7 linked regions of the Rattus norvegicus genome follow. The protein of the gene in region 1 purifies or fractionates together with the protein of each later gene. This does not show direct contact. Links are inferred from orthologs where the notes say so. Each region holds a gene or a part of one and is shown on either strand. Other genes may lie near its edges. The genes, in order: Cul4b, Cops5, Det1, Ezh2, Trpc4ap, Hdac2 and Cops7a.

Region 1 (3,500 bases):
TCATATTCCAGGTGGCTAGTTCTATCAATGCCAAGTAAGTTGTCCAAATAGGTTATTTCTTTTATGTCAGTCAATCGATCTTACCTATTGAATTTTACAGCTCACCAGTGAAAGCTACAACCAAACATTTCATGCTTGCTACCCACACTAGCCCCTCCCATTTTCAAGTCTTTCCTCATACTATTTCCTTTATTTCATATGCCTTCTCTCCAATCAAAATTTTAAGGCCCAAATCAAGTCCTACTTCCTTCCACAATCATTATTCGCTTCACTTCACTCTCAACCACACTTCTTGTTAACACTACATACTGGTACTTACTAATTTGGAAATATTAAGAGCACAGAGGAGGGGGCTGGAGAGACATCTCACCACTGAAGAGTAGTGTCTTGTCTTTCACAGGACCAGAGGTCATTCCTAGAACCTAACAAGATGACTCACAAACAACTAACTCAAGTTCCAGGGGATACAATGCCCCCTTCTTTACCCCACATATTCCTGCACATTGTATGGTATACATATATACACAGGCAACAAACAAAAGAAATAAATGAATCTTTTTAAAAAATGTACAGAGGGGAAGATTATTTCCTTATATGTTTAGAGCTCTAATCACAGTGACTACACAGAATAGAGAACTACAATTTCTTGATACTGGACAGACACAATACAAACCTATTCCAGTGGCTTGCTTTATCTCCTCTAAACTGAACTCCTCTCCTTCATTAAACATTAGTAGCACCAGGGTTTGAAAAAGAGAGACCTGAAGTTCTTTTTTGCCCTGTTGGAGAAAAAGCAGAGGTTTTTTTTTTTTTTTTGCCTGTTTTTTTAAACATGAAAAATTAATCAAAAAGTAGTATCTTATAGGAAAACCATTAATTAGTGAGTTAAGCACAGACGAGTAACATTCTCCAAAGTGCTGCTTTACATGGCAATACGATGTGTACTGCAAGATTTAGGTGTGAGTCTACAGAAAACGGGGTGTAGGGTTAGTTAGCCTATTAGTATGTCTTCTATAGTCCTTATTAAAACAGGACAAAGTAATGAAAATAAGTCAGCCCTATGTGTCATTATAGACATTCACCATAAGCAGCAAGAAATTACTACCCTAAATGCATTTTTCAAGACAGGGTTTAGAAACCCAAGCTAGACTTCCTTTGTAGACAAATATGTACTTGAACTCCAATCTTCCTGCCTCTATCTCCCAAGTGGTAGGATTACAGTCCCATGTTACTATGCTCCACTTTCAAATATACTTTGACTTGATTCAGATCATTCATGAACAGATGCAGATTTTTCCCAATGGATATTGTTTACCTATATCACTCACTCGGTTCTCTAGCTTCTAGCCACATGATTTCTGATAAGACAGTATGAACTCTGAATCCACAGGGAAAAGAGAAAGGGGGGGTCAATTTTAGATGAGGGCTAAGTCAACTGCTGAAAAGGTAACCATCTTAAATACAAAGTTGCAATATGCTAAGCAGAGTCAAGGATACACTTATAAAACAGCAGCTTGACCCTGCAAACCAAGGGATAAGCCATATTAAAGATGAAGACAGAACTCAAGATTTAAAAATATCCACTTACCTCTTTAAATTCAGCTTTTAGCACACAGTGTCCCAAGGTTGATTGCCATTGAAGTTTCCTGCCACTGTGCTTGCCTAAGTAAAATGTCTTGAAAATTTCCTGAAGCTTCACCATCTAAAGCAAATGAATTGTTACTTTATGTTGCATATGCAATGCCACCCTTAGCACGGTTTTTTAAAAACTATTTGTTGAATGTATGAAGTGGTGTGTGCATGCCATTCTGGGCTAATAAAGGTCAGAGGACAATTTTTGGGAGTCAGTTACCTCTTTCCACTATGTGGGTTCAGGAAGTTAACTAGGAGGTTAAGCTTGGTGGCAGGTCCTTCACCCCTAGGCCACCTCAATGACCTCCCTTCTCAATACTTTAACATCATCTGGAATAGCTTTTGATAGTTTTCAGGACTATATTCAGTAGTTACCAATCCCTTTAATGTACGGTGAAAATCTAACTAGCCAATGCAACATCGCTTGGTGATCTTCACACTCATTGATCTTTTCTGCCCTGTTATTTAATCATCCCTTCACTCTGGTGATTTGGGTTTCTACACTATACTGACTCCTTTCTCTTACTGCTGCTTCTGCCCACATTTCTTTACAGGTTCCTCTTTTTACCATCTGCTAAATGTGAGCCTTTTCTAAAGTTGAAGCTTTGCCCTTTCTCTTCCTCTTCACCATATTCTTCCCTTATTGAGGGAAATCTACTTTCTGGGCACCCATGATTCTTTCCATAGACGCTTAGTACTTTTCTTTATTCAATATTCTAGGTTTTGGTCCTGAGTAGGACAGTTCCCAAGGCATGAAGGGATACTCATGTATCCATTACATCCACCAATCCTGCCTTCAGGTGGAATATATGGGCAAGATTTTTTAACAGCTGGCAAGACTAAGGGGTCATAAGCAATGAAACAGAATAATTGGGGAAAACAGCACTAAATTTAGAAATGTAGTTAAAAAATGAAGTAAAGAATAAAATATTAGCGCTCATACTTTGTTGCTATATTTGTTGACATAAACCTTTAAAAGTCACAGATTTTCAAATGAAAAGCAGAAAAAAATGTAATTTCTATGCATATAGCTTAGTTTTAAAATGGTTTATCTTACCTCTGGTGGCAAATGGACTTCCATAGGCACATATGTTGGCCAATAACCCATTGTCAGGATATTAACAGTTAATTCAATATTGCCAGGTACATTCTGGTTCTGCATATACTGTAAGATCAACACATACACCAAGATTATGAAAGTTTATATACCATACATAATACAAATTTCCTTTATATAAAAATATATGTAGATACTGACCATCCTGAAAATAAAAACAATTATTTAAACTTGAAATGAATACTACACAAAATGCAGTAGAAAAATACACAGGTGGCCATTTTGATAGTGGCATTCAAAAACCCCACGAAAATATCCTAGGTATTAAAAACTCAACTTCTCACACACAATTGGGCTGTTATAGCATCTCGTCTCCATTCTTTTCCCCCAATGCTACCTTTAATCCCCACCTTCAGAGACCCTACATGGATCGGAACATCTTGTAGCAACTCCCATTCCTCACCCCACTAGCCAGCCCAAGTCTCTGGTTTTTCAAAATGCTTCACTCCCTGTTTGAAGGTGGTGACCTGAAGTAGGAAAGGAAAAGGGGAAAGGGCAAGGCAAATAAATCCTATTCTGTGCCTACTGTAAGATCTATGATCCTACTAAGTCTGAACGTCGAGTCTTTTGGTTCTATTTACCACCTTCAATATAGTAGTCAAGAAGTCATTACTGAACCCTTGAGTAAAATCTAATTTGCCATCACTATTGCCTAGTTGGTATTGCTGCTGCTGTTTGAGACAGGATCTCACTATATTGCCCAAATATTATTTCAGCATCCTAAGCAGTTGAGGCCGCAGTTACACAAACT
Region 2 (4,181 bases), on another chromosome or scaffold:
ACTGTGACCGAGAGCCTTACTTAACGTGCAATTTCAGAACAGTTTCTGTGAGAATAAATACATTCTGAAGGGATTTATAGGGATTGAAAGGGAGTGTGGAACGTGGAGGAAAAAGAAAGCAGTAAGTACAAGGTGCCTGGAAATACCATGTCATGTGTCTTTGGCTCAGACATAAAGAGTCTGAAATAAATTTTAAATATACTATTGAAATGAGGGAATAATGATCAACTCCACAGGTCTTTTTCCTCAATCAACATGGAATTATTATACCTGGTTACCTTCTTAGGCCTAACTTTCTGACCTTAATTTACTGAGTTATTAATTAAATAATTTATTTATTTATTATCTGTGGTACATGTTTATTAGTGTGCCACCTGTGGAGATGACAGAGGCTGTCAGGGGTCTTTCACTACCTTTTTTTTTTGGTTTCGTTGAGACCAGGTTTTTGGTATAACCCTGGCTGTTCAGTAGACCAGGCTGTCCTTGGAACTTGATCACCCACCTCTGCTGTGATTAAATTCAGGTGTCAACATGCCCAGCTCATTTTCGTCTGTTATTACTTCATTCCCTCGAGACAGAGTCTCTTACTGAAAGCTTACTGTTGTGGCTAGGCTGGCTGACTAGCTCACAGACCGTCCTCTCTGCTTTCTTTCCATATAATGCTAAAAGGTAGCATATTCACACATGGATTTTTACATAGATGCTGGATTTAAACCTTAGGTCTGCATGCAAAACTAAGTACTCTTACCCACTGAGCCAGAGGACTTAGTTTCTACAAATGTGGCTTCTGAAACTGACTTGCTTAGGTCTCTAAATTACACTGACACCCCCTAACTGAGAGAGTAGGGCCACTTAATGTCTATGCCAGATCACATATCTATAAATAGATATTTCATCTATTAGTATGAAAAGTACACCGTAAATGCTTAGCTTAGTCCCAGAAACACTAAAATCTAAGGTACTGCTACCAGTCTTATTAACCCGCTTTTTTTTTTTTTTTTGGTTCTTTTTTTCGGAGCTGGGGATCGAACTATTAACCCGCTTTTTAAGATATTCTCAAAGAAACAGCTTGTTAGCTTATGGCTTCCTTCTGATAGCATCTTGGGAATTAGAGTAGAGCTAGTATCCTTACTTCTGTGACTAACTATTGTACATGATTAAACTCTTGAACATTTTAAAATCACGGCTGTATCCTGCATGTTAGAATAAACTTAAGTATAGCCACAGATGGTGAGGAAGTCAAGAGTTTACATCCATCTAAAACGTGCAGCTTGCTTAAGGGACAGCCAAGAAATCTGCACAGGTCACTCAGTGTCACCACGGCTTGTTGGATGCAAGCAACCAAGTACAGATCCCAGCTTTTGCTAGATTTCAACCACAAGCTGAAAGTGGCTGAGATCATCTTGGAAATCAAGACATAAATTTAAAAATTGGCTCCTCCACCTACTTGGGAAAAAGAGAAAAACAAACCACTACTATGCTCTTATTATATATGGTTCTTCCAGAACTTTTTAATAAATTATCTTTTTAATAAATTCATGATATTCGTAATAGCTATGTTTAACCATTATCTTATAGATAAGTTTAGATACTTTACTTTTCTAATGCCAGTCAACCGTTTAAGTGACAGTTATGAGACTTGATTCTCAGTCTACTGCACCTAAGTTCACTGCTATAGTATAATCATGAATGTATTTGCTTATTTTCCTATTTACAGAAAGGGAAAGAAAGTACAGTACTGGATTGCCCTGATTATTAAATGACATAAAAATCATCAGACCAGTGCCAGGCCCACAGTAGTAACTCAAAAAACCCTGAAAATAGAATCCTGACAGCTAAAACCAGCTTTGCCAACAAAACAAAACACCTGGAAACAGCAAGGCAGTTTACATAGCAACCTTTTGCAATGTTTTTCTTCACTCTCCTTAACATGATTTGCTCTAAAGAATCTTTTGACTTGTCGTGGGCCCCAAAGATACATGGATTTGGCTGGGGGGCAAATAGCCTCTAAGCTCTATTTTATAAATCCTGAATTGTTGCAGTAGTATTTTAGAGAACTGGTAAGAGGATTTGGTATGTCTTTAAAAAAGTTACAGAGGAAAAGAGTGATAAAAAAGAAATCACCCCAAGGGCTCATTTTTGTTTTTTAGATCAATGCCCTGCTCATTCGATTTCTGAAAACAGTCACGCTCTTCAGTTTGAGATCCACTGAAGGCTGCAACCAACTGCATGTAGCCAGCCACCAGGTTCAGGGGAGAATGTGTGAAATTTACGAAAATAATCATTTTGAGAAAGTAGCACCCTAAGTCATCCCTTTACACCCCCTGGAGGTAAGAAACTTTCTAAAAGGGGTATCGAAGCAGGCCCTAGAAATAAGGGGAATCGAAGTCTCTACTGATAAGGTAGAATAAAACCACGGCGGCCAGTATTCTGTCGACGCCCCTCAGAAAGCCAAATTCTCCACCCACTTCATTTTCCACCCCTCGAGGGTCTCTCTCACAGTCCCTCCATCCCTTCCCTCCCCTGCGTCTCGCCAGGGACCTCCTCACTCCTTAGTCCAGGGTTTCGCCGCCAGGATTTCTTGTTGTTGTTTTTTGTCATATTTGTAGATTTCATCGATACTCTGCGCTTCCTGCATGTTGTTGGCCAATTCCCAGGTCTTCTGGGCCATACCACTCCCGGAAGCTGTCATGGCCGAGGGACCGGAGAAGCTGTAGTCTCCACAACCAAGATGCAACTTTATTCTACTGGGCCTCAGCGTGCGGGCTTTGCACCTTCCCCACCACGGGTGCACACTCACTAGACTCTCAAGGCAGCCATGACACTTGAGACCGGAGGTGACGTTGGTCCAGACCATTCGCGCGTCGGGGCGCGGCGGCGGCGTAGCGACATAGAAAACACTTCCTAGGGGTCCGCTCGGCTCGGCTAATAATAGTTTTGCGAACGAAACGAGGACATGCTGGCTCTGAAATCCGTACGTGTGAACTGGGAGGGACGCAAAGTCTCTGTGTGGGAATGGTACGGCCTTTCGCGCCGGAAGGCGGGCCTGTTGACCTGCCAGGAAGGAGTCGGCCGTCTCGCCTCGCACTGCGCAGACTCAGATTCCGCCATATTGCGTGTGGGAGGGAACTTCGGTTTGGGGAACTATGTTTATGTGAGTGTAGGTGCTTCAAACGAAATAAATTGTTTGGAATACTAAATGTCTCTAGAGAAACAGAGGTGTAAGTATCTCCGGATTATTGGTTTTGGAGGGGGAAGATTATGTGACATTGTCTTTTAAGATAATTCGCGGAGTATAAACCCCTCCGGGGTTTGTGGGTGGCGTTTCGCTTTTGTGTTTTCGCTACTGTTGCGAGGTGGCAAGCAAAACTCACCGGTTGCTAAGATTAACTTTTGACGCGTTTATAGGGTAACATTTATACAAGTGTTAGGAGATGTGAATGCCTTACCCGCTACTTGTTAAAAAAGGTTTGTCTCAGTGCAGAATTAATCTCCGCAATCCGTTCTTTCCGGTAGTTAATATGAAATTTGTTTCAGTCGTGTTTTTAGGTTTTCTTCCCTCTCATTCTCATCCCCAAATGCCCACTAGAGTGTAAGTTGAAGGCGTGCATAAAATCTGTTTGTTTTATTTAATTCTAATATATTTAATTATTTTCGTAACACGGTTCTTACAGACTTCTCCAGCTTCATCATCTTTTAGCCACCCTGACCCAGCTTTTTAATTAGAACTTTTTCCTTGATTTAGTAATGCAGTAGTTGTTAAGCATTGCTTTAAATGCACTTCTTGACATTTCTGCTTTAGAGCACACAGTATTTAAAAAGCACAGTCGAGATGCCTTCCATTAACTCTTTGACAATAACTGCTCCTTCCACAGGATCTCGAAGGCTCTATAGTTGCTTCACACGGACGTTTTGCTTTTTCCCAGTAAGCTTTGTGTTGTATCCTTTTTTTTTTTTTTTTTCTCACCCCCTCTCCCCCGGCCATGGAAGGTCTTTTGCTGTTCAGGAACTCGATATGTAGACCAGGCTGGCCTCGAGAGATCTGCCTGCTTCTGCCTCTTGAGTGCTGGGATTAAAGGCATGTACCACCCTTGCCGGGCTGTATCCTCTTCTAATGCAGGTTTTTAGCAGACAAATTAGCTAAAAAAGAATTGCTAACTATTCACCACTACTGTTGGTTT
Region 3 (3,500 bases), on another chromosome or scaffold:
AGAGACGCCTTAAGCACATTGTGTGCTAAACCGCCTGGACAAGTTGTATCCACGCAGGGCACTGCGGATGAACAAATGAAAAGTCAGACAGACATTCCCATTTCCTTTCCATAAATGTTCTTTCAGCCAAGAGCTTTTGTAAGGTACATTTGAGATTTCTGCCAATTAGGATGGGGGGGCAGGGACCTGAAAAGCATTCAAATGCCATAGGTGGCAGTCACCATTTTTCCTGAATGGAGGGACCCCTGGGCGACTGGGCCTTTTCCTTGACACCTTGAGTGCTCTGCCTTGCCTAACAGGAAGGAAGCTCTAGGTACCTTGAGGGTTTTTTTGTCACAGTGAACACTACAGTGTGAACTAAATCTGCAAGCTTCCAGCAGGAGTCTAAGATGTCCGGGACTCACGGATTCGCATTTCACCTTCCTTTGATTGAGTTTTAATCTGTTACCCATCTCTGCAGCCATTTGGCCCACCTGTCTCGTAGTAATTAGTCCTCCCCAGAGCTCCTCTTACATGACTTTGCAGTCACCTGGAAATTAAATTTGGCTGCAAATTAAAGTGGCTGGAGACAACCTGAGAACAATACCCATAATATTACCGAGGCTTTGTCTATGGATGTAGTTCTTACTCATTAACCTTATTGGAACTTATCAAATGAAACTGGAAGGGGAGACAAGAGGACAACTGGAGCGTGGAGACTGGTTTCGAGTTTCCAACTCCAGCAGCATGCCCAGTTATAGCTGACTGCAACTACCAGGAAAAAATAGGTCACCTTTTAGCAAAAGAAAAAAAAAGGATAATCTCAGCACTGTGATAACAGACAACTTATTCCTTCCAAAATAGAAAGGTAATTATAGCTGAAACCTAAATAAAAGAGTGACTCATGTCCCATCTATAGACCAGGACACCACTTTGATCATATCAGGGTTTTAACAGGATCTTTCATAATTATGCGAATATAAAATTTCACAAACATTTACCAGCTTTCCCTCTACGGCAGACTGGGAAATTAAGGACAGGAGGGGAGAGAAGTCAAGGCCTCTACCACCTATCTTCCATGACGCAGAAGATGAACTAGATGTTCACCTGTGGTGGCTCAGCAACACCACCCATCATTAACAAGGAAGAAAGAGATTTTTAAAAATATACTCGAGAAAAAAAGAAAAAAAAAAAAAAAAAAAAAACTCCTTGAAAGGGGTTGGGGATTTAGCTCAGTGGTAGAGCGCTTGCCTAGCAAGCGCAAGGCCTTGGGTTCGGTCCCCAGCTCCGAAAAAAAAAAAAAGAAAAAAAAATATATACTCGAGTCTGATCACTTTCCCCTTTTTAGAATACATAAGCTGTGATTATTTTTGGGGGGGTTGCTGTTGGAAGATATTTTACCACAGGTTTGGTAATGTATGTTTCTTATGCATATGTGGTACATGTGTGTATGTGTATGTTGTGTGTGTACTTTATGTGCCAAACCTGGCTGGCACATGGTCTTCCAGCACTGTCTGTCGCAGTCATTAAGTCACTAAGGTAAGTGTCTTTCCCCTGAAGCCACGGCTTGCTGGTGAGTCAGCTCACTCTTGGGATTGTCTCCTTCTCCTGCACTCTGGAATTACAGAAGGCCACCACACCCATCTGGCATTTACAATGGTTCTGGGAATCCAAACTCCCCTCATGCTTGCAAGAAAGATGCCTAAACCACTCGGTCAACCCCCAACACTGTCTAGAATCCCTTAAAGGCAGAGTCAGCTGACTTCCTAGATTACTATCTGCCTCACTGCTGTTTCTAAAGCAGGAGGATTGACTGGGGGCAAGCAAGGTACAGAAAGGTGGGCCTCTTACTCAGACCACACTTAGTGCAGAGCTTTCAAAGATTCCCAGAAGGTATCTGAACTCAGCTCGGGTCTGTCTGTCTGTCCCTCTTGTCACCACTTATCCTCCTTTAACTTTTTAAGTCAAGGTCTCATAACACAGTCAGGTCTGGAACTCACTGCCCTCAAATCCAAGCTCTCTTTGCCTCCAGTCCCACTGCTGGGATTGTCGGCATTATGGAAGTATGCCTACCATCATACCTAGAGTCCTCAGTGCCAGGGACTCTGAGCCTCATATCCTGAATAAGCTCTCTACCACCCGTCCCTGAGGACTTCCATTTTTGCATGGAGGGCTCATTCTTGCTGCCAGAACCTTTTTGGTTCAATAATCAGTCTTACAAAGTTTAGGAAGGATTATAAATGTGTGGTCCAAACCCCGGCCTTACAGCATTTGGGCTCCTGTATGACAGGTACTGAGAATGTCCTGAGGAATGACTGAGATCATAACCACATGGCAGTGGCTTGACGCTGACCCTCCTCCATTGGCCAATTTCAATATGTGATGCCAGACAAAAAGGAACTGACTTTAAATCTGAACCCAAGCATAGCAAAAACCGGCACCATTTCTGATACACACGGGGCACAGGCAGGAGACCTCATCCCGTACCTGAGATGGGTCTGTGACCCGCAGCGTCACTACGTCCTCGCTGGTGTACTTGATGAACAGGTGGTTCTCATCCAGAAGCTGCATCTTCCACATGCGCAGCTGCCGCAGCTGGTCAAAGTACTGGAAGAAACGTCTCTTCGCCATGGCGCTACCGTCTTGCTCTGCCCTGCGCCAGAGGTAAACCAGCAACCGGTGCTTCAAGGAGTTGATGAAAGGGTCCCTGAAAGGGTTGGCCATGCCTGTCTGGCTGTCCCGCTGCACCTCGGGGAAAACGGCAGACACAGTGAGCAGGTCATCCTCGTAGCAGAAGCGGCCAATGGTCCGAACGTCAATAAACGTGCCTTCAGGAGTCACCTGGAAGACATGAATGGTCTGCTGCTGCACAGACAATATGGCCAGGATGTTCTTGTATAGGTACAGCCCTTGATTGTGTGACAGGACCACCTTGTCACACTTGAATGTGCGTGTGTCACACAAACGGCCAGTGTGAAGGTCGATGATGTGGAGGGAATAGTCTTCGAGAGGGGACCGTGGGTTAGGGGTCACCGACTCACTGTTCCGATAGACCTCATAGAAAGGAGGGTGAGGTTCGTCTGGAAGGTAGGCAGCGGAGCCCACGATGACACAGCGGCAGTCGTCCGTGAAGAGGCTACACTCCCGGTTCAAGTGCTCGCCATTGGCCGCTACATTGGTAATGTGCAGCAGGACAAAAAAACGTTCAAAGAGCCGGCCTCGGATGCTGACCGACCTCTGGTCATTACCATTGGACAAGATCTCCCCTTCATATCCCTGCAAGAGGTCCTCTGCTGCCTGACAGCCCTGGTACTCGTAGATTTCAAGAGATGTCTGGTCAGACGAAAAAGCAATAAAGTAGCGCCCGTCAGGCGAGAATTTACGCAAGAAACAAGGAGGCTTTTCAACGTTGACAACCGTGAAGTTGGGGAAGACATTCTGGTGGAAGACTCGGACCTGATGCCAGTGGGTCCCTGCCCTGCCTGAACTGATGCGCCGGCGCTCTAAGCGGTGGATGACGT
Region 4 (3,500 bases), on another chromosome or scaffold:
CCTCCCTGTTCAACAATGCCCTTCCTCAGGGCAGCCAGAGCCTGTGAAATTAAGTTATCAGAATCTTGGATTCAGGTTTCTGTGTACAGGAGGCTCTTTTGATATCTGAGCAAAGGGAGCTGTGGTCATATTATAGTGGAAAACAGGTTTGAAGTGGTCAGTCAGTGACACAGATTGGGAGGAGGTTAAAGCCACAGGTCCTCAATGATTAAGGGAGTAATGTGCCCTGGACCAGCTGGAGAGGGGTGATTTCTGAGAAAGCAACGGATACTGAAGGAAAATGCTGTTTTCTTTGCTGGCTGTGAAATTGATTTTGACTGTCCTTACCTGCCCCTCCGGTTACAGTGCTGATAGGCCTTCGCTATTCTTCCAGATTAGAAAATGCATACAAAAAAAAAAAAAAAAAAAAAAAAAAAGAAAGAAAGAAAGAAAGAGAAAGAAAGAGAGAAAGAAAAGAAAAAGAAAATGCATACAAAGACTTTTGTCATTATCCTTTTCCCTGTTTCTGACATTTGGATTTTAGAATGTGGATTTATAAATGATGAAATTTTTGTGGAGTTGGTAAATGCTCTTGGTCAATATAATGATGATGACGATGATGATGATGGAGACGATCCTGATGAAAGAGAAGAAAAACAGAAAGATCTAGACGATAGTCGAGATGGTATGTTTAATACTAGTTTTTTGTTTGAGCCTTATATAATTCTTCTTTTAAAATAAAAGTACCAGGCTGGTAAGATCAGGTCGGTAAAGGTGCTTGGTGAATCGAGATTCCTGGAACCCACTCTGTGGAAGAGAAGAACTGACTCTCCTAAGTTGCCCCTGATCTTCACACCAGTACACTGTGGCAGACATACAACCATATGATATATGTAAATAAATGTAAAAACCACCCATTTTGGGGTAGAATGTAACTCTCCCCTTTTTGTTAAGTGTTCTATCTTAGCAGTATGATCAAATGTATTCTCTGCAGCATTTCATTCTCTATAGAGCTTCTTCGTTTCCTGTGCCTAGCAAAAGGACATGTGTTTTTGGACTTTGCTGATCAGTTATCATAATTATCTTTATAATAATAATAATGATTTATGGCATATTAACAGCTTTATTATATATTAGAAATGGCTTTAGAGAAGCTGAAGACTATGGGACTTAGTTAAGATTGCAATATTGGGAAAAAGTTGAATCTGAGCCCCAAATTGATAACATAAGTCTGACTCGAGAATTGTGCTATTGCCTCTACACTTGTTAAGTGTTCCTAGAAAACAGTCTACCCCAAAGTAGAGCCCATAATTCTGTCTTCTACTTAGCAAGCTTACTATCAAGCAGAATTAGGAGAAAATTGCAATTTCAAAAGACATGTATTCTTTATAACAGAAACACACCGGAGTCAGTAAGTGATTGCTAAGTTCTTCCATGTGATGGACAGTTCTGAAGGTGGATTAATGATCAGCTCTGACAGAAAACTATTAGTGTCAAATAATCAAAATTTGGGGGAATCTGTCTTCTTGTACTCTTAGCATCTTGACAAGCTTTTCCATAAGAAATAACTGATAGAGGGTTTGGTGATGCCTGTAATCTCAGCACCTGTAATCTGAGCGAAGGCAGGAGAGTCTGAAGTTCAAGGTTATCCCTGGCTTTGTAATGAGTTTTATGCTATCTTGGGCTAAACTAGGCAAACCTGTCTTACAAAATAGGACAAAACCCCCAAGCCAGTGATAGTGAGTCATCCTTGTCATTCTCGAACTTGGGAGTCAGAGACAATAGAATAGAAAAGTTGGCTATCGAGGTGAATCAGTGGGTAAGAGTGCTTGCTGAGCAAGTCTTTTTCTTTCTTTAAGAATTATTTATTTATTTTATGTATGTGAGTACACTGTAGCAGTCTTCAAACACATCAAAAGAGGGCATCAGTTCCCATTACAGATGGTTGTGAGCCACCATGTGGTTGCTGGGAGTTGAACTCGGGACCTCTAGAAAAGCAGTCAGTGCTTTTAATCTCTGAGCCATCTCTCCAGCCCCCAAGCAAGTCTTGATGACCTGATTTGAATTTCTTAATTTCACCATAGGAGAGCACTGACCCACAAAAGTTCTTCCCTGACCCTCACATGTGCACAATGGTGTGCACACCCATGTGTCTTCACTCAGGGAGGTGCACATAAGCATACATACATGCACACCTTAAAAAATAATAAAGTAATTATTAAAGCTTCGAAGTCAACCTGGTCTACTTAGTTGCAGGCCAACTAAGGAAGGCTACACAGTAAGAGATCTTGTCTTACTCCCTCCTCTCCAACCTCCACAAAAGTGAACCAAAGTTGACAAGTTGTTAGAACATCAGCTTTGTTGAGACACAGTGATAGAGAGAAAATGAAGCTGAAACTTGTTTCTTCCATCTCCCCCTATCACAATTCACTGTTTAGATAAAGAAACTTGCCCACCTCGGAAATTTCCTGCTGATAAAATATTTGAAGCCATTTCCTCAATGTTTCCAGATAAGGGCACAGCAGAAGAACTGAAAGAAAAGTGAGTAGGAATTTTTCTTTTTTTTTAATTTGGGGCAGTTGTGCATGTTATCATCTCTTGATTTATTATTTCAAGCATTCTCTCTCTCTGTCTCTCACACACATACACACACACACACACATACTTTACTGTGTATTAGAAAATTTTTAGTTCATATTGAGTACATATATGAGTATTCATGCATATTCTATGCCTATGTACAGTTTATACTAATATATTGAGGAAACCTTTTCTGGACGCTGGTAGAGATTTATAGTTAATCCAAACTAATGTAATAACCTCTTCTGCTACATACCTCAGTTGTATTAATGAGCTTGATTCTTATTTCCCATGCATAATACACGATTGGTTCTTAATGCAAGTAAAGATTACTGTAGGTTAGATTTTTTTTGTGGTTGACTTTTAGATAATATAAACTTAAAAAAAAAATCAAACCCATGAAAACCTTTTAGAAACTCACTGTGCAAAAAAGTGATGTTTGTTTGTTTGTCTGGTGTCAGGTATAAAGAACTCACGGAGCAGCAGCTCCCCGGTGCTCTACCTCCTGAATGTACCCCAAACATCGATGGACCAAATGCCAAATCTGTTCAGAGGGAGCAAAGTTTACATTCATTTCATACGCTCTTTTGTCGACGATGTTTTAAGTATGACTGCTTCCTACATCGTAAGTGCAATTATTGTACGTTTTCATTTTCTATCTTTGTTGTTGAAATATGTAGTAAAGCAACTTGATGTCAGTTGTCACAACCAAAATATACCGACCAGTCTTATAGTGAAGGCTGAGAAATATGTCACACCCCGTACTGTGACTGTTTTCTTCTTTGAGGATTCCTCTGACATCTTTTGTACTCATTTCATTCCATTCACTGCTTCCCAGTAACTTGAAGTGAAGGTCTTCACACTTGACAAGGCTGTTTTATAATGAATGATTGTAGTGAGGCAGTTCTCAGCTCAGAGCAATATTACTGCCATTTATGAAC
Region 5 (4,090 bases), on another chromosome or scaffold:
GGCACTGGCTAAAAAGGCTGGAACTAGGATTCAATTCAGGCCCATTTTACTGCAAAATCCAGTCTTTCCCAAGGAAAGTCTACCATATGGTATTACTCAGATAAACCTTCAGGGCATTAGTCGTACTTACAGCAAGACAAAGGAGAAGGGTGGGTATCTGGGGAGGGGCCTGAAGAGTTGCTCAGTGGATAGATACGGTTTCAGGTTTATAAACTGAGAAAGTTCTAGAGACCTGGTATGCATCAGTATGAGACTAGTAAACACTACTGATCCTATAGTTTCAAACAGTTGTGATGATCAGCTGTTATATGTATTTTTTATTTAAAAGATGTCCTTAGGTAGGTGGTGCTCTTGTTACTGCCCAGCCTGCTGCCCCTCACAGTGCACCTAATAAATTTGTTTTCTTCCCAACTCCACCGCCCCCTCCAAAGTTTTTTAAAAACTTGGCACTTTCCTGTCTGCCATATGCCATAACCAATATGCGTACTGTGCTATGAAAATATGGGTGAGCAAATAATTTATTCTGCGTATCGGGAGAGAGAGAGAATAAAAAAAAAAACACTGAAGAACTCTGCTGAGAAAGACAACCATGAGATGTGAAGGTCTCCACTTCGTTATCACTAGAATTTGGGAGACAGGAGTTCTAATCCAATCTCTGAAATAGCTCTCACACCTTTACAAAACTACCAAAGAAATATGCAATCACAGACTAAGAAGGTAAGCAAACTTTAGGGATTTACAGAGTAATAATGGGGGCCACGATGAACAGCCAAAGGCTCCAAGAATATTTTAGTAACCTTCTAATCCAGTTCCCTAGCATTCCAGCACTGGAGGCAAATCGTTCTCCAAAGTTGCCTCACTCAGCATGTTAAAGAACTTCCATGGCTCACAGCTCTTAGTGATCATCTGCAGGGAAGTTAGGAATCACTGCCTAACCTTGGTAAGCCTCGGTTTCCTCGTCTGTGTTAAGAGATGGATTCAACATATAGCTCAGACTATTGAAGATTGCTGGGTGTGGTAGAATACCTGTAATCCCTGCACTAAGAGGGCAGAGGCAGAACGACTGTCACAAGTTCAAGGCCAGCCTCATCTAATCAAGGCCAGTCATATACCTACATAGTGAGAGCCTGTCTCAAAAGTAAACTCAATTTCAAAAAAAGCCAACACCCTGCACACTGACTAATCTTTAAAGGATAGTGAGTCCCCTTTCTGCCTGTCCTGACATACTACTCGACTCAGTGAGGTATTTTGGCTTCAAGGACAGAGTAAGTATTTCTCACATCTTCTAAGGCAGATGCAGAGGAATACAATGAAGAAAAGACTGCTCATCTACAGTTTCTATAGAAAAATATGGCTACCCCAAAGTGCCTCTTCATCTGTGACCCTACACAAATACAGACCATCTCACCTTTATCTCTTCAGTTCATTGGGTAATAGTCAAACGGATCGAAATTAACTTTAAATATGTAGTGGTATGTTAAGAAAAATCTCATACCTATTCCCTCATCTGCTCACCTAATTCCTGTCCCTCTCCCATCAATACTGTTTGGTCCTTTATATATCCCTCAAAACGATATACAAAGCTATCTTGAAATTAAGCTAATGTTTTCTGGGTCCACCTGGGAGAACGAAGAAAAAGTGAAAGAAGTCATCTATCCTGCTTTATTCTAAGGTTGTGTCCTATACCCCTCAACAGACATACATACACCCCAACACCACATGTATAGGACATCAATTGGTGTAAAGATGAGCTAGGCATTAAATATAGCAATAACTGATGACCCTTCAGCCCTTACATGCACCTGAAATACCCTAACACTTGACACGACTATCTCCTCTGAATTTAACAATAACCTTAAAGGGTGAATCAGAGAAGGAAACTACGGCCCTGAAAAGGTAACTTGTCGAAGCAAGAAAGAGAACAGGGCTTTGAACTAAAGTTCTTCCCCCAAAGCATGTATCCCTACGTTAGTAAAACAGTCTTCTGCACCCGTTGGAGTTCAGCCTAATGTGGGAGAAAGGCGTGAAAAGGGCAGACAACAAAGAAATATGCAATTACAGGCTAAGAAAATAGTGCAACAGAAAAGGAATTGGGTGATCTGATAGAATAACAACGGGGGCCTACTTTAGAAAAGGAGGAGGAACGTTGAGGCCTCTGAGAAGATGACATTTATGATAGGCTTGGGAACCGTTTGGGGGGGCGGGGGTGCTGCAGTGAAGAGGACCCCGACCTGCTTACAAGGGGCAAACACGAGACCAGTAGAAGATGAAGCCAACTCGCCAAGGTCCTCCAGACACGCAGACGTGGCGCAGGGAAATGAGGATCTAGAAACTCGGCCCAGGGCTTATTATACGCGCCATCAATACCCCAGGCAGTCCGATCCCACTCGGCCCAGACCCGCAGGCCTCCGAGCTGGCCGCTGCCCCTCGTCCCACCGTGGCTGACAGCGTCCGGACGGCACACAGGACAGCGCCGCGGCCAGCCAAGGGGGATCTGGCCGGTCCCGCAGCGGCCTGGAAAGGCCTCTTCCCCGGCCCCTGGCCAGCTCCAGCCTGGCCCGCCCCGCCCCGCCCCTCCGGGCCGGCCTCGTACCTGCACCGCTCGGACCAGGCCTCGGCCGGTGAGCTGGCCCTGCCGCAGCTGCAGCAGGATGTTACCCGGTCGCGGCCGACCTCCCCAGCCGCCCCACGCCGCCGCGGTAGCGGCCGACCGCCTCCCCCGGCTGGCCCCAGCTCCAGCCGCTGCGGGCGCTGCCGCCATGTCTCCTCGTCCGACAAACAGGAAGCAAGCGGTCCCGAAGCCGCGTCGATTTCTACGGGGCGGCGGAGGACTCTATATCGCCCCCAGTGGACTGACGCGGAGGTGCAAGCCGCGTGGCAAGGGCTGTACGTGCCCCAAGGCCTTATGGGAATTGTAGTCTTTGCGGAGGGTGGGCAGGTAGCGGAGATGCTGCTCTTCCTGGACCACCCACTTATTTTTCTCCCACGTCCCACTTCCAGCATTTCTACGAGGTTGCTCCAAGTGGATGACCGGTCAGTCGCTGCGTGCACAAGGTCTCAAATTTTTCGTCTAGTGGGAAATGATGCAGCCCAGTGGCCAGGGAAGGATTCTAGGCCCTAGGCCAGAGTTGACACTTGACAGATGTCCTCTTCCGTTTACAACTGACTTTAGCCAAGTCACTGCACTTTACCCCTAGCCCTTAGTCCATTCAATATTTAGGCCCTGGGAGCCGGATCAGTCAACTAATATTTTATTAGAATTAACAAATATGTTTTATGTAAATGATACATAAAGGACCATCAATGTGCTATGGCTTATTCGAAGAAAATGGCAAAAAAAATTTTTCATTTACAGATGTCAATAGTTTCTAAAGGCACCAGCTGTACTCCTCACACTGAATAGACAGGTGAGGTGGAGGGTGAGGTGACAAGTAGAAACGCAGAGGACCCTGTTAGGGAATGAGGATTTCAGGGGACCACAGCAAATCCACACAAATAAAAGCAATTGTCTATGTCGTTCAATGACAGCCATGATGTTCAATGGAATAACGCAAGGAGACAGGATTGGCAAACTGATCCCCTATGAAGTAGAACATTGCCCTAATTTTCCCCACAAGTAGAACTGAATTCACATGCTTGGACAAACCTCTGTAGCAGGGTTGTGCAGACTCTCTCTCTCTCTCTCTCTCTCTCTCTCTCTCTCTCTCTCTCTCTCTCCACTTTCTCTTCTAGGAGGTAATCTTGTAACAGAATGAGAAGAGTTGAGTGTGTCAAATTAGGATGCCTTGAAGTTTGCTACTTGTAACTAAGGTGGATACAATTTGTTGCCCAAACCAGAAGTCTTTAAAGAGTGGAATGATGTAGTAATTGCAGCGGAACAACAGTTTATGAGCACTGCCAAGGCCAACTAGACTGCGGTTGTCATCTTCATGCTCACTTACAAGGTGTGGCTCCCTCCCACCTCCAGCAGATCACTGCCAGGTTGCCTAGTTTAAAGCAAATAAAATAGGATCTGGAGAGCTAAGTCAGTGCGTAGAGGCACCGGCTGCCAAGACTGTCGGAGACCTAAGTTGTTGGGTCCCCTGAACCC
Region 6 (3,500 bases), on another chromosome or scaffold:
TCCCCAGGTGTGTTGTCACCCCCACTCCAAGGTGTATGCTACCCCCACTGCCCAAGTGTGTGCCACCCCTACTCCCCAATTTCCGATGATTCAAGAATAAAATCAAACTAAGACTATTTTATAATATGACAGGTCTGTGACAGTCAAATTTCCATATCCATAAACACCTTTTACAGCTGGATGAGCACATTTACCTATTTGCACATCATCTATAGTATCCTTTGCCCTATACTTAAGACCTTATGACTGTGACAGATCACAAGTGGCCTCATCATTCCCTAATGATCTGTACGCCACCAATCACAGCAACAACCCAAATGAACTTCTGGAATCACGCCACCATAGGATGACATGACATTAGTTCCATACCTATGTCAAAGTGCCAACAGAAAAAAAAACTATGCATTAAAAACCAAAGCCACTGGTGTTAGAAAGCTGGCCTTAAGTTAAGAGCACTGATACTCTCCTAGAGAATCCAGGTTAAATTCCCAGCACCCACATGGTGACTCACAACCGTCCCATCACACCAGCGCCTGGGGATCTCGTGGTCTCCTCTGGCCTCCATGGGCACAGCACAAATGTGGTGCATTGACACACATGCTGGGAAAACAGCAACACATATAAAATTTGAATTTACTGTTTAAGGTGTCACTGCAGCTGACTTAAAATGTTTTATTTATTATCAAAAGATGCCGTGGCTGTGCTCATACAGTGTAAGCTGGCATTATCAACCCAGGCATTTATGCTCTCAAGGCACAGAAAAGCAACACCAAGAAAACTAAAAAACTGCAAAAAGTGGGCTTTATCATAGCAGAATCTCTTCATAAAGTTAAAAATCAAATATGATCAAAGTGGCCAATGTGTTTGGATGAGCAAAGAAAGCTATTTAACAAACCCAATTTAATTATGTTCAATTTTACCAGGTAAAGAAACATACAGAATTAAGCTTGCTCAGGACTAAGCTTAAAAAAAAAAAAAAAAAAAAAAAAAAAAAAAAAAAAAAAAAAAAAAAGGCAACAAATTGCTCAGAGTTACGCCAGTGGAATAAGTGAATAATGGTGACTTCAGGGATCTGTTGGTTGTTGGTTTGGGTGTTTGTTTATGGTCACTAAGGTCACTGCTGGAATGTACAAGTGGAGCAAGAGCGTCATTGTCAAAGCCTACAGAACACAAAACGCAGCCAAAGCTATAAACTACAACTCACTCCTATGACAGCGCCCAGGGGCAGTAATCTCACTCTGAGTGTCCACACTCCTAAGGGTAACTTCCAACACCCCTTCAGCAACTGGGCATCACTGTGTCCATGTATTCACGTGTATCTGTGTCTGTATAGCGGACGGAGCCATACTGGATGAGGGATCTGGGGTCAGCCAGGGTACTAAATGGCTAGACAAACTTCTATAACACAGGTTTCAAAGTTTTGTCTTCAAGTTACTTTAGCGTTCACATTTCTGGAGTCCTAGCAGCCATCTTTATTAGCTCACACTACTGCAAGCCTAAATCCACGGAGGCCATTTAGGGGAACTCTCAGGCGCTCTCTCATACTTCTGCGGTGGCTCCCAACGGGCCCTGTGAGACTCCACTAATGCATTAACATTTATTTCCTATTCTCTAAAGGTCTGATGACAGTTTTGGGAAACTGAGTTTGCATTAGCGTACTTCAGTAGCTCGAGGACAGCAAGCACAATGTCATTAACGTAGCAGAATCCTGAGGCCTCTGACTTCTTGGCGTGGTGCAGTCCTCCCGCCCAGTTGACAGCCATGTCAGTCTGTTGACGGTTCAGCTTCACGGCCCCAGCTAAGAAAGAGATACACGTTACGGTATCTACAGCGTATTTAAAGTTTACCTGTAAGCGAAGCCTCATTAAATATGCCATCTGAAGCAGAAAAGGTTTGACATTCAAAAGCAAAGGATTATAATTTAGGAGCTTAAACTTTCCTCAGATAACTATTTTCCTACAGTTTACCCAACTAAATTGCAGTACACATAGAAAATCGTGGTTAAAAATGGCAGAAGAAAAAAAGAAGGAAAAAAGTCTCTGGAGGAAAAAAAAACACAACTTAAAAACTGTTTGAGTATTGACTGTTAAACATTTGACATTTTAAAGATGATTATACTTGCTACTTTGAACCTGAAATGCCTAAGAACCCCACGGAACAAGTCACCCGTGTGCCATCAGAGAGTGATGGACTAAGGGCTGAGGCCGGACTTTAGTTCACTGGAGGTCTGATCTTGCTTAGAAGAGATTCTGGAATGCTCTTTTCTCTACTCAACAGCCATGGGGTACCCCCAGCCCCATGCACATACCATAATGTGCTATCACGGTCCCAAAGGACAGGGCCATTTAAGCCCCCAAACCAAAATAAACCACTCTTTTAAAAGTTGTCTCAGGTTTTGCTACATTAACAGAAGAGTGAATCGCAGTATCATAACCATCTATGCCTCTAATCTCAATCAGTGAGGCTAAGGAAGAGGACTTCCACAGTACCAAGGCCAGCCTGGACTCCACAGTAAGCTGCAAGCCAGCCTGGGCTCCTGGGTGACACTGTTTCAAACACAGAACAAAGCGAAACAACAAACTCATCCCCACTAAGGTGCAGTGACAGCACATGTCCGTAAGCAAGCACTGGGGAGGTGGCCAGAGGATGGGGAGTCTGAGGCCACCTGGGTGACAGCCTAGTGACAGCAGAATCAAGCAAGCAAAGCTCACTACCATTACGACCTGCTGCTTTAGACAGAAACTACAGACACCGTAACCCTTCAGATCCTCGTCAAGTCACTGACTCGGGATACTCACCAACTGAGCCACCGGTGGAGAGCTGACAAAACTCAAAGAGTCCATCGAACACTGGACAGTCTTCTCCGACATTAACTGTGGAAGGTGAAGTCCATTAAGGCCAACCTATTATCAAGCCATTGAAGGCTTTTTCTTATAAACTATTAAAAATAGTCATTTCAGGCAATTATAGGCAGTAATATAATATTCCATGACAGTAATATAAAATTTGTAATTTTAAAACATTACCTATGAATTTTAAAATTCACAGGGAGTAATACCAAAAAACTAATTTTACAAAATAATGTTTACTTTATTCAAGATAATTAAATTGTTATCTATGTAATACCATTACCTAATCTTACGTGAATATTTGTGAATTAACTGTACCCAACCACCACCACCACTAACAAAAGTCCATATTAAAGTAAAAATCGACATGAATCTGGTTTTCTTCTTACGCGACAGTGAATTAGTTAAACACTGAAGATGAAGAGGCTGCAACTCCTTTCTAACTCACTCACAGCCCCTCCCAGACTCTGAAGTGCATTTTAGTATCAAAACATTAACAGTTACTTTGTTTTTTTCTGTGGCTGAAACTAACTTTAGAAGAGGCTATGAATTAATCAGTTTCATGGAACAAAGATACAAAGGAAGGGCGCATAAGACGGATGACCCGTCACTCGTCATGGCGCGGTTGACTTCCTGTGGTAAGAGGCATGG
Region 7 (4,212 bases), on another chromosome or scaffold:
TTTTTTTTTTTTTGGTTCTTTTTTTCGGAGCTGGGGACCGAACCCAGGGCCTTGCGCTTCCTAGGTAAGCGCTCTACCACTGAGCTAAATCCCCAGCCCCAACAATGTTTTAACAAGGCTATAGACCCAGCATCTGCTAGCCTCCAAGGACCCAGAGCTGTGGCCTTCGAAGTAAGTTACTGATAAATTGCTGACTTGTATTGTTTTATCCATTTATCCGATCTCTTTCACTGGAACACAAGCTGGAAATGCTCCTTCTACCTCATCTTAAGGACATACTTTAGTTCACTGTAGAGAAAATCAGGGACAAAAGCCAGTTTCTTGTGAAACAGCAGTCCCAAAAAACATTCTATCCTCTGATTCCACCACGGGTCTTCTAATGCCTGGCTCAGTCTAGCCACACACTACTGTCACTCTCATGACAGGCTGGTGTCCCAGGATTGGCCATCCATCTGCTCTATACTTTTAACGTTCTTTTTTTCTTTTTTTTTTTCTTTTTTTTTTTTTTTCCGGAGCTGGGGACCGAACCCAGGGCCTTGCGCTTCCTAGGCAAGCGCTCTACCACTGAGCTAAATTCCCAACCCCACTTTTAACGTTCTTGACTCAGCCATTTCCCTGAATGTTCTCGTCACTGTGTTCATAGCAGTTTGCCACTGTCTTAGGGAAGACAGCATCTTCACCATCTACCTGGGGGTGGGGTAGGGGTGGGGGTGGGATTTACCATGGCATAACTCAAATGCCCATTCTCTCTGATTTTAGGAGACTCCAGACTTTCCCACAGTTACTACTGTAACTGTGAAGGGAAGTGCTTTTTTTCTTATTATCATTTACTTTATGTATATGTATACACTGTAGCTGTCTTCAGACACACCAGAAGAGGGCATCAGACCCCATTACAGATGGTTGTGAGCCACCTTGTGGTTGATGGAAATTGAACTCAGGACCTCTGGAAGAGCAGTCAGTGCTCTTAACCGCTGAGCCATCTCTCCAGCCCAGGTAGTGTTTTTTTCGGTTTTTCCCTCATTGGAGTTGTGAGAACTGTACCTATACTGAGCCATGCATACGACAAACAAGGGCTCTTTCACTGAGTACATCCCTACTCCTTTTTTGAGATGGGGTCTAAGTTGCAGAGGCTGGTCTAAAATTTGTGGTGCCCTACCTTAGCATCCCAAGTTCTGAAATGGAAGCCAAGGCCTCACAAATGCTAGGCAACCACTCTATCAGCTGTTTCAAGGTTCTCATCACCATTTTTTAAGGGAAAACTGAGACTTAATTAGGTTTTTCTGATCCAGGTGACAAGATTTGTTGTTTTGTTTTTAAGACACGGTTTCTCTGTGTAACAGGGGCTGTCCTGGAACTCAAGTCTGTAGACCAAGCTGGCCTCTAACTCAGAGATCCACCTGTTTCTACCTCCCAAATGATGGTGACAGGATTATTAAGAGGTATCAATAGGCACAAATCTTCAATCCCAGCACTCCGGAGGTGGATCTCTGAGTTGAACACACAGAGAGTTCCAGAACACAAGTTATAGTACACAGAGAAACCCTGTCTCGAAAAACAACAACATCAATAACAACAGTAAAGATATCATACTGGTGGACGAGCTGGCATTTATGAGTGGTATTGTGTATGACATGTTCTTTTGTTTAAAAATTTAAAATCTGTGTTTCCTTCAGCAGCACATATACTAAAACTAGAACGATCCAGAGAAGATTAGCATGGTCCCTGGGCAAAGATGACCTCAAATTTATAAAGCGTTCCACATTTTTAAATAAAAAAAAAATTTTTTTTTTAACTTCTGCATGAGGCATAGTCAAGAAGATTCTCAAGCATTCAAGGCCAGCCCAGATGACGATTACCAGTTTAGTGCAGCCAGGACTACGCAGTGAAACCCTGACTGAAATTGTGGGTACAGAGGAAGGGAGCAGTAAGTTTACAGACCCCTTTTCTGTAAGAGATACAGGAAATGAAGACCTTTTTTTGACTGCTTACTTTTCCAAGCTGACATCTAATTATCAATACCCTGTTCACCTGAGTGGCTATTGGTTACAAAATGAGCCCACCATTCTCAAGGAAACTTTGGTCCCGAGGTTCTTTTTGAATTACCCAGGCAAGCAACACACCTCTCTAACATTAGGCATATCCAGCAGTTCCCCAAACACGTAGACACCAGGGGCCTCCAGCACCTGGTGGATGAGTGTGGCCAGTGCTGCCCCCTTAGCCGACTTGGCAAGGAGCAGAAATTGCTCCTGGTTCTGCCCTGTCACCTTCACCTCCGCACTCATGGCTGCACCCTGGTGCGGGGCTCTGGCCTCAAGTTTTCTGGAGCTGCAAGGAAAGAGGAACGTAAAACTAAAGGTCCCTGAACCACGTGAGGGTGGTCAGCTCAAGGGTGGGGAACTGCACTCAAGAGGTACCACGTCACTTCTGCAGTGTGCAATTAGGTCAAGAAGTCTAAAAGCCAACTCTAGGGTTCCTTAAAGTCGGCCACATCCTGGCTGCCACGCCCACCCTCTCCTCCATCGGGGCAGTCCCAAGCCCCACCACGTGCATCCCATTGAGTTCCAGGACAGATGAGGAAGGGAGGGAAGAGGTGGCACATGGTGTCTACCCCAACGACGACGAACTCCCAGCTCTAAACTCGTGTCTTGCACGTGTCCTCAACCACGTGACCTCACCTTTTCGATCCTCACTCGTGGCTCCACCCCCTCCCTTAAAGAGGCAGCCCCGGGTCCGCGAATCTGTGCCCAAGGCCGGGTCGTACCCTGGGACAGACTGCGACCGACCGCTACCTGGAAGCCTCGTCTTCCAGCGCGCGGGGCGGGGCGGCCGCTCCGTCACCTCCGGCAGCGGCTCCCAGCCTTTCCTGCCACCTCCCCGCAGGGTCGCTCTAGCCACGCGCTTCTATGGCCAGTTTCCGGCCGCACTTCCGCTCTCGAGAGGCGGGTTCCGGCCGGCTATGGCCTGCTTCCGTTTCCCGACCGAAGGAGGTGAGAGAGCGACACCTAGCTTCCGCTCTGTCGATAAAGCTTTATTGGTGCGGGAGCGGTGGATGCCGGGTGTAGAGAAAATCCTGGCTCCGTGGAGGTCCTGGGTAGATGAACCGCCCGGTAGCTGCAGGAGAGGGGAGGAGGGCAGCGCCAAGTTCCTCCGGCCGCATGAGCGTTAGTGGAAGACGAGAAGATGCAGAAACTAAAAATAGGAGACAAACATGGCTAGAGTTTCAACGGTAGATAATTTAGGTAGTTCAACCACTCATGTTTTTCAAAGAGCAGAATAAAAAGTAGACAAACGTGGCTAGAATTCAACGGTAGATAATTTAGGTAGTTCAACCACTCATGTTTTTTAAAGAGCAGAATAAAAGTTTAAAATGCAAGGGGGCAGGGAGTGGTGACCCACACCGCTTCCCTGTGTTTTGGAAATAGAGGTAGGATCGGGAGTTCAAAACCAGCCCCAGGGGGTTGGGGATTTAGCTCAGTGGTAGAGCGCTTGCCTAGGAAGCGCAAGGGCCTGGGTTCAGTTCCCAGCTCCGGAAAAAAAAGAATCAAAAAAAAAAAAAAAAAAAAAAACGAAGCAAAAAATACATAGCAAATACCAAGCCAGTCTGGGCTACTTGAGAACCGGTCTGGAAAAAACAAAACAAACCCCCAAATGATTAAGGGGAAAGGGAAGTGTATTGGTCAGGCTTTTGAGGTTTTCTTCCGTTGGAATTTCAGACCACGTGACCAGACTTTTGGCCGATTAAAACCAGAAGGATTACTACACCTAATCGTTCTGGTTTTAATACTTGAATCTCAACAGGAGAAAAGTGTAAGTAGAACCTAGGCAGGTGAGGAAATTTAAAAGTTAAAGGATTCAGCTGGTTATTTGTAATCCCAACAGCCAGGAGACTGAGGCAGGAGGATTGCTATTAGTTGGGAGGGTAGCCTGTGCTACAGTGTGAGAGACCCTGTCTTAGAATACTTTAAATTGCATGGTGGTACACACCTTTAATTGGGTGGATTTCTGAGTTAAATCATCCAGCATCTTATGCATAGGGAATTATGGTATAGCCAGAACTACTTAGTGAGACCATGTCTCAAAATGAAACAAAACAAAAATACTTACAGAAACCATTTAAGGGGCAAATTAAGGTAAAGCCAGACTTACTGTTTCATAATCTGTAATCCCATTACTCAGTAGACTAAGGCAGGGGAATTGAAAGTTCAAGAC

The links.
Region 2: the proteins of Cul4b (region 1) and Cops5 purify together in Homo sapiens (affinity purification with mass spectrometry; 12 studies listed by BioGRID and IntAct, counting the BioPlex papers as one, with this or other methods). This does not show direct contact. The link is inferred for Rattus norvegicus from reciprocal best matches to the Homo sapiens genes CUL4B and COPS5.
Region 3: the proteins of Cul4b (region 1) and Det1 purify together in Homo sapiens (affinity purification with mass spectrometry; 3 studies listed by BioGRID and IntAct, counting the BioPlex papers as one, with this or other methods). This does not show direct contact. The link is inferred for Rattus norvegicus from reciprocal best matches to the Homo sapiens genes CUL4B and DET1.
Region 4: the proteins of Cul4b (region 1) and Ezh2 purify together in Homo sapiens (affinity purification with mass spectrometry; 4 studies listed by BioGRID and IntAct, with this or other methods). This does not show direct contact. The link is inferred for Rattus norvegicus from reciprocal best matches to the Homo sapiens genes CUL4B and EZH2.
Region 5: the proteins of Cul4b (region 1) and Trpc4ap purify together in Homo sapiens (affinity purification with mass spectrometry; 4 studies listed by BioGRID and IntAct, counting the BioPlex papers as one, with this or other methods). This does not show direct contact. The link is inferred for Rattus norvegicus from reciprocal best matches to the Homo sapiens genes CUL4B and TRPC4AP.
Region 6: the proteins of Cul4b (region 1) and Hdac2 purify together in Homo sapiens (affinity purification with western blotting; 3 studies listed by BioGRID, with this or other methods). This does not show direct contact. The link is inferred for Rattus norvegicus from reciprocal best matches to the Homo sapiens genes CUL4B and HDAC2.
Region 7: the proteins of Cul4b (region 1) and Cops7a purify together in Homo sapiens (affinity purification with mass spectrometry; 6 studies listed by BioGRID and IntAct, with this or other methods). This does not show direct contact. The link is inferred for Rattus norvegicus from reciprocal best matches to the Homo sapiens genes CUL4B and COPS7A.

What each region holds. Positions count from the first base shown.
Region 1 is NC_086039.1:122,161,300-122,164,799, forward strand, and holds part of Cul4b (cullin-4B), read right to left. Parts: intron 2,798-3,500; coding exon 2,690-2,797; intron 1,703-2,689; coding exon 1,589-1,702; intron 780-1,588; coding exon 674-779; intron 1-673.
Region 2 is NC_086023.1:13,973,957-13,978,137, reverse strand, and holds the start of Cops5 (COP9 signalosome complex subunit 5), read right to left. Parts: upstream 2,801-4,181; 5' UTR 2,693-2,800; coding exon 2,550-2,692; intron 1-2,549. Other genes in the region: Cspp1 (centrosome and spindle pole-associated protein 1), read left to right, coding at 3,016-3,221. UniProt on the Homo sapiens protein: Probable protease subunit of the COP9 signalosome complex (CSN), a complex involved in various cellular and developmental processes.
Region 3 is NC_086019.1:142,168,834-142,172,333, forward strand, and holds part of Det1 (DET1 homolog), read right to left. Parts: coding exon 2,467-3,500; intron 1-2,466. UniProt on the Homo sapiens protein: Component of the E3 ubiquitin ligase DCX DET1-COP1 complex, which is required for ubiquitination and subsequent degradation of target proteins. The complex is involved in JUN ubiquitination and degradation.
Region 4 is NC_086022.1:77,642,184-77,645,683, reverse strand, and holds part of Ezh2 (histone-lysine N-methyltransferase EZH2), read left to right. Parts: intron 1-523; coding exon 524-664; intron 665-2,417; coding exon 2,418-2,520; intron 2,521-3,020; coding exon 3,021-3,184; coding exon of another isoform or gene 3,185-3,199; intron 3,200-3,500. UniProt on the Homo sapiens protein: Polycomb group (PcG) protein. Catalytic subunit of the PRC2/EED-EZH2 complex, which methylates 'Lys-9' (H3K9me) and 'Lys-27' (H3K27me) of histone H3, leading to transcriptional repression of the affected target gene.
Region 5 is NC_086021.1:164,650,324-164,654,413, forward strand, and holds the start of Trpc4ap (short transient receptor potential channel 4-associated protein), read right to left. Parts: upstream 2,801-4,090; 5' UTR 2,762-2,800; coding exon 2,594-2,761; intron 1-2,593. UniProt on the Homo sapiens protein: Substrate-recognition component of a DCX (DDB1-CUL4-X-box) E3 ubiquitin-protein ligase complex required for cell cycle control.
Region 6 is NC_086038.1:42,113,127-42,116,626, reverse strand, and holds part of Hdac2 (histone deacetylase 2), read right to left. Parts: intron 2,874-3,500; coding exon 2,799-2,873; intron 1,799-2,798; coding exon 1,660-1,798; intron 1-1,659. UniProt on the Homo sapiens protein: Histone deacetylase that catalyzes the deacetylation of lysine residues on the N-terminal part of the core histones (H2A, H2B, H3 and H4).
Region 7 is NC_086022.1:159,457,374-159,461,585, forward strand, and holds the start of Cops7a (COP9 signalosome complex subunit 7a), read right to left. Parts: upstream 2,801-4,212; 5' UTR 2,679-2,800; intron 2,658-2,678; exon of another isoform or gene 2,559-2,657; coding exon of another isoform or gene 2,545-2,558; intron 2,329-2,544; coding exon of another isoform or gene 2,286-2,328; coding exon 2,124-2,285; intron 1,770-2,123; exon of another isoform or gene 1,664-1,769; intron 1-1,663.